2 separate regions of the Mus musculus genome follow, and region 2 is reported to be linked to region 1. Evidence: microRNA targets listed by miRTarBase, many of them from high-throughput screens and not tested one by one. Region 1 holds a microRNA gene; the other region holds the end of a gene's coding sequence.
What was found. Region 1 holds the annotated microRNA mmu-miR-669a-5p (AGUUGUGUGUGCAUGUUCAUGUCU, at 1,670-1,693, opposite strand). A microRNA usually pairs through its seed, bases 2 to 8, with sites in the 3' UTR of a target mRNA and lowers its output. Matches are read on the target gene's strand: a 7mer-m8 pairs with bases 2 to 8, a 7mer-A1 pairs with bases 2 to 7 and ends in A, and an 8mer does both.

Region 2: the mRNA of Xk is a reported target of mmu-miR-669a-5p. Seed matches in the 3' UTR shown: 8mer at 2,929-2,936.

What each region holds. Positions count from the first base shown.
Region 1 is chr2:10,502,063-10,505,498 of GRCm38, reverse strand. Mir669a-12 (microRNA 669a-12) reads right to left here and starts at 1,708; the gene lies at 1,622-1,708. All of the region lies in intron 10 of Sfmbt2 (Scm-like with four mbt domains 2), which reads right to left. It overlaps Mir467a-10 (microRNA 467a-10), which reads right to left and starts at 2,226; the gene lies at 2,144-2,226. It overlaps Mir466b-3 (microRNA 466b-3), which reads right to left and starts at 1,934; the gene lies at 1,854-1,934.
Region 2 is chrX:9,309,240-9,312,675 of GRCm38, forward strand. Xk (X-linked Kx blood group) reads left to right here. Exons shown (of 3, transcript NM_023500.2): 3 at 1-3,436. The coding sequence ends at 510. Among named protein-coding and RNA genes, the nearest start is that of Gm25481, 6.9 kb to the right of the region's middle.

The DNA of each region.
Region 1 (3,436 bases):
CATGTGTATGTATATGTATAATTATATGCATACATGTACATTCACACAAAGTTACACACACATGCACATACCTAGGGTCCATCACATAAATCCAGTACGATTTCTAACTCATCATGAAGTTAAACATGAATTTGAACTCCAGATCCTCCTGACTCTGGCAAATGGTTTGCATCTGATTAATGAGATGTTTCCTGTCCCATGAATATGCACTCTATAAAACTCTAAGCACATATAAATCAAATGGATGATTGCCATGTGTATTTGTGTACACATGTATGTGTCCATATATGTGTATATATATGCATATACATATACCCACATGTACAAGCACACTTACCTATAGACATATACACGTACACAGAGGCAAAAACATAAATTACAGCCTTATCTATAACTCATCATGAAGTTAAACATTAATTTGAACTTCATATCCTCCTGACTCTGGCAAGAGTATTCACCTCCTAACTGAGGCATAGCTCTGGACCAGTACTGCATAAGCTCTAAATCTCTGAGTCACATAACATTCAAAAAAATATATGAGTGACATTCGTGTATGTGCATGAGTATATATGCATATTCATGTATAAAAGTGAATATGCACACAACTATACTCACATGCACATATTTGGAGGACATCACACGAATCGCATGCTGATCTCTAACTCAATGTGAGTTAAACATGAATTTGAACTCGTCATCCTCCTGACTCTGGCAAGAGTGCTCACCTCCTAACTGAGACATAGCTCTGGCCATTCCTATGAATGTGTGTGCATGCGTGTATATGCATATTCATATACAGAAGTGAATATGCACACAACTATACACACTTGCACATTTTTGGTGGGCATAAGATGAATCCCATGCTAATCATGAACTCATCATGAAATTCAGCACGAATTTGAACTCCTGATCCAACTGACACTGTCAAGGGATTTCACCTGCTGAGTGAGACCTCTCCCCATTCAGTACTGAGGAATCTTAAAACTCTAAATCACATATCATTCAAATGGATCGATGAGTTGCACTGATGTTTGTGTGTGTGTTTCTGTTTGTGTCTGTGTACATGTATATATTTGTGTAGATAGGTACATCCATATACTCAAATCCACACACAATAGAAACAGATACAGATAGAGATACATAGGGGGCATCACATGAATCCCAGGCATATCTCTAAGTCATCATGAAGTAAAGCATGAATTAGAACTCCTGATCCACAATCTTTCACACCTGGTGAGTAAAACCATTCACTGTCCCACTACTGCATAATCTTGAAAACTTTAAGTCACACATCATTCAAACGTATAAATGAATGCAATTTTTTCCTGTGTGTGTGTGTGCTTGCATATACACGTGTGTTTATGTTATATATAGCATGTCAACAGAGATAATGCACATACAAGTAAACACACATGCACATTCATGGGAGGCATCACATGAATACCAGGATGATCTCTAACTGAATTAAGCATGAATTTGCAATCTTTATCCTCCTGACTTTGTCAATCTTTTACACCTGGTGAGTGAGGACATTCAATGTCCCCTATTGCATAATCGCTAAAACTCTACATCACTTATCATTCAAAGGGATTGGCGAATGCCATTCCTGTATCTGTGTATGTGTGCTTGCGTTTATACGTGTGTGTGTATGTTATGTATATTCAAATATAGACATGAACATGCACACACAACTATACACACATGCACATACATGGAGGAATCACAGGCTGATCTCTCATGAGGATAAGTATGAATTTGAACTCCTGATACTCTTAACTCTAGCAAGCATTTTCACTCTAAGTCACTTATCACTCAAATGGATTGATGAGTGCCATTCCCATGTGTCTGTGTGCTCATATGTGTCTTATGTGTGCGTGTATGTATTTGTATATCATATTCACACATGTACATGTACACACACATCAACACATATACACATACACAGGGGCAATCACATGAATGCCAGGATGACCTCTAACTCATCATGCCTTTACTATGAACTTGCACTCCTGATCTTCCCGACTCTACCAAGGGTTTTCCCGTGGTTTGTGAGACCTCACCCTGGCCCAGTCATACATAACCTCCAAAGCAGTAGGTCACATATCATTCAAATGGATCCGTGAAGGCCATTTCCGCATGTCTGTGTGCATGTGTGTGTAGGTGTGTGTATGTATATGCATAAAATATACACGCATATACATGCAGGCACTTACGCACACGGGCACATACATAGGGGCCATCACATTATTCCAGGATGATCTCTAACTGCTCATGAAGTTAAGCATGAAATTGAACTCCTGATCCTCCTGACACTGCCAATTATTTACACCTGGTGAGTGAGACCTTCACTGTCCCTCTACTTTATAATCAGCAAAATTCTAAGACATATATCATTCAAATGGATCAATGAGTGTCATTCTTATGTGTGTGAGTGTGCACGCCTGTGTGTGTGAATACATTTGTATGTGTGTGTATTTATATGTATGATCATATACACACATGTACGTGCACACACAATTATATGCACTTGTGCATACCTAGGATCCATCACACAAATACAGGGTGATCTCTAACTCATTATGAAGTTAAGCATGAATTTGAACTCCTGAGACTCCTAACTCTGGCAAGTGGTTTTCATCTGATAAGTGAGATTATTCCCTATACCATGAATATACACTCAATGAAATTATAAGCACGTATAAATCAAATGGATGACTGCCATGTGTGTATGTGTGCACATGTATGTGTCCCTAGTTGTGTGGGTGTGTATATATATATATATATATATATATATATATATATATATATATGCATGCTCATATACGCGCATGTACAGGCACACTTCCTTTTACACATAAACACATACACAGGGAAAAATCACATGAATTCTGGACTGATCTCTAACTCACCATAAAGATGAACATGAATTTGAACTACTCATCCTCATGATGCTGGCAAGAGTATTCACCTCCTAACTGAGTCAAAGATCTGGCCATTAGTGTGAGTATGTTTGCATGTGAGTATATGCATATTCATGTAGAGAAGTGAATATGTACACAACTATACACACATGCACATTCTTCGTGGGCATCACATGAATCGCATGCTGAACACTAACACATCAAGAAGTTAAACATGAATTTGAACTCCTCATCCTCCTAGCTCTGGCAAGCATACTCACCGCCTAACTGAGACATAGCTCTGGCCATTCCTATGAATGTGTTTGCATGCGTGTATATGCATATTCATATAGAGAAGTGAATATGCACACAACTATACACACATGCACATTTTTGGTGGGCATAAGATGAATCCCATGCTGATCATGAACTCATCATGAAATTCAGCACGAATTTGAACTCCTTATCCACCTGACTCTGTCAAGGGACTTCACCTGCTGAGTGAGACCTCTCCCCATTCAGTACTGAGGAATCTT
Region 2 (3,436 bases), not on the chromosome of region 1:
ATCGTGCTCTGCTTCCTCACTTTACTCTATGCCGGCATCAACATGTTCTGCTGGTCAGCTGTTCAGCTGAAAATCGACAATCCGGAGCTCATCAGCAAGTCCCAGAACTGGTACCGCCTGCTCATTTACTACATGACGAGATTCATCGAGAACTCCGTCCTCCTGCTCCTGTGGTATTTTTTTAAAACTGACATATACATGTATGTGTGTGCGCCTCTGTTGATCTTGCAGCTGCTTATTGGGTACTGCACTGGCATTCTCTTCATGCTTGTGTTCTATCAGTTTTTCCACCCTTGCAAAAAGCTCTTCTCCTCCAGTGTTTCGGAAAGCTTTAGGGCACTTCTCAGGTGTGCCTGTTGGTCCTCCCTGAGGAGAAAATCCAGCGAGCCAGTAGGAAGGATAGACACAGACTTAAAGGCGTGCACAGAGCAAGATGTAATGCCTACTACCAGTAAAGTGATCCCCGAGGCCACTGACATCTGGACTGCTGTTGATCTGTGCTCTGCTTAATGAGACCCGAGGCTTCTGACAAGTAATGAGCCTTCACACACATCATGAGCCCTGCGCAGGGACTAAGGCACGAAGTTAGCTGTCAGTTCCCTGTGAGCTGCTACCTTTTATAAACCCCTTGGCTTTGAGGCAGCTTTGAGTGCATTAAAGAAGCCTACTACCCCACAGTTTGTTTCGCATTTGACTCTGTTCTGTTCTTGCATCCTCACTGGCCATTTCATTGATTGACACAGTATCCCTGAAGTTTCAGTTGAGCTGGTCATACTCATCATTAGAATGAAGAGAAATGCTCGTTTTCTAGTTCCTAGCCTGTTGTCTCAGTAGCCTAATGCTTTACTACTACTGAATATAGCTTTATACAAGAGTCACCATGATAGCTGGGATAGGTTCCTAGGGATTTTACAACTTTGTTCCAATTATAGCTTATAGGAGAGCTATTTAAGTTTGTTTTATTGGTATGTTCCATTTTCACCTCACTAAGACTTTTTGTACATAACCAACTGTAGCCACTCTGGCATGCAATGTGCATTTTGTTTCAAGGGCCTACATTTGGGACTTTAGGATCCATTGGTACAGTTACTTAGGAAAGCCGTGTTTCATTCCACATGTTGAAGAAAGTAGGGATCAGGATCGATTGAGACAACTGTTAAAACATCAAAAACGATGGAAGCTCATACAAATATCTAAATGTTTAAAATATGAATTGCTCAGAAGGTAGGCTTCATTCTCCTCATAATTCAGGCTTGTCCTATAATTCTGAGAAATTTCTAGTAGAATTTTCTAAGATTAATATTTTAAGAAGGAAGAAAATAAAACTAATAGTCTCCACCTCTATCTTTCCCTTCCTTGCGTGCCAGGCAAGTTTTAAACAAGCCTTTTAACCTCAGTTCATTTGCTGTTGTTTCTAGAAAGCTCTGTAGAAATCTGTTTCCTGATGCAAGTATACAGGACATTTTATTTTTCACAATCTTAAGAAAAAGAAGTGTTTTCCTCACTACCATCCTTAGTTAGAAATGTTGATCTTAGAAACTTTTTAAGTTATAGAAAGTAATGAAATGATCAAGTTTTTGTTCCTCATGAAATCCATTTTGACTTAATAGCAGTTCATTTTCATGAGATACTCAGTTTTGTCCTCCACACCATTTCATCTAATGGATAATTTCTCTCTCATCTGGAAGTATTTATTTTAATTTAAAAGGGTTGGATAGAATATTGTCAGTACTCTGACAAAGGTGCCAGCAAGCAATGCTATGATCTCTACCACTAAATGTGGATGATGAAATGTCTACAAACAAGTGACCATGAAATTCACACCAACTTAACTTGAAAATTGTAACAAAATGTAATGCATTTCCAAAGGCACCCCTATTTGTGATTCTATGGGATAGAATAGATATTCAATTTTCTGATCACCTAAATACATAAAACACATTTATCTGGCCATCATACTCCTCATAATTGCTTTTTAAAAACTCTTTTGGTATCAAATTGATGAGAAATTTCATAAACAAATGAACATTCAGTTTGGTAAGTATTTTACTATACTAGAGGCTTCGTAAAATAGTAAGTATTCTTTGATGTGTCATTCACGCTGTTAATCTTTGTACCATTTTGTATGCACACATTTCAGTAAGGTTCTGAACCACAGAGCGTCCGTTTTCTTTCCTGAAATATTTTTCCTCATTTGTACTTCTTCTGTTTTACCAGGATTTGTGGTTTACCTGTATGAGAATGCATAGGCAGCCCATCATTTTTGATCACTTTTAACATATAAAAGTCAAATTGATGTTTGTCTGTTTGCTGTTGACCCCTGTACCACTTTTCCTGTTTGTAATACATCTAGATCTAGTTAGTGTACATCATCAAAGTGATACTTTATATGACAGATAAATCTTTGTACTTTTCTTGCTCAGAGGTACAAAACTGTTGAACATACATAGCAAGTACAGGGAAAGTACAGGGAAAACAAGCTTAAAATGCTAAAGCACTCCTGTTTGGGTTATTAAGAAATCCAAAATGATTGAAAGGGTAGGAAGAACATCCCTAGGTCAACCCAAAATGCTCTTCTCTGTCAAATCATTTCCTTATGTTTACAGGCACCAGGTGTTTTCAGTCTTTAATGTGAAGAAAATCCTTTCCTTGAAGCTTTCCAGTGACTGAGGGGAGAGATGGTACCCATTTCCAATTTCAGGTCATGCCTTGAGAGTGAGATTAGCGCCACTCTGACACTTCCTAGGCAGGTTCGGAATTAGACAAGGGTAAGGATACTTGTATTTTTCCAGCCTTGGTTTAGAAGCATGACCCAGAAATACTTTTAAACTCTTAATTTTCAAATATATTGTAAGCCCTTTTACCTTAGTCAGTTGGTAAGCATCTTGAATGACCTCAAACCAAACTAACTAGCAGTGATAAACTATCACACAACAAAGGCCCGCCCAGGTCCCGCTTTATAAAGACAGGTGTTTTTTTATTTTGTATTTTTAGCTAATTAGATATTATTTCAGTCTCTTGATAAGTAGGCTTTTTCCTTGTGCAGTCCCACAAGCTTACTTAATTATTCTATGCATCCATTTCCTAACTTACCAAATTAACATGATACGATATAGTATTCCAACTTACCTCATAAACTTGTTGGAAAGATTTCACTAAGTAATAGACACAAAAATATTTCAAAGTACCATAAAGAGTTATTATATTACTCAAGTCCATAAACTGGTTATTGTTTGTGGTTTGGTTTTGTTGTTTCCCCGACTGAAATGACATAAGTAGCGTCATCCACATTAGTCTTTAGTGAGTGCACAGGTCTTTGGGCTCCACTGCAGTTGCCCTGTCTTACCATCAGTTAATTACAGAAATTAGCACTCAGGGCATGTGCGATGGCTCAGCCAGGGAAGGTTCGTGCCACCAAACCCAACAACCCAACTTC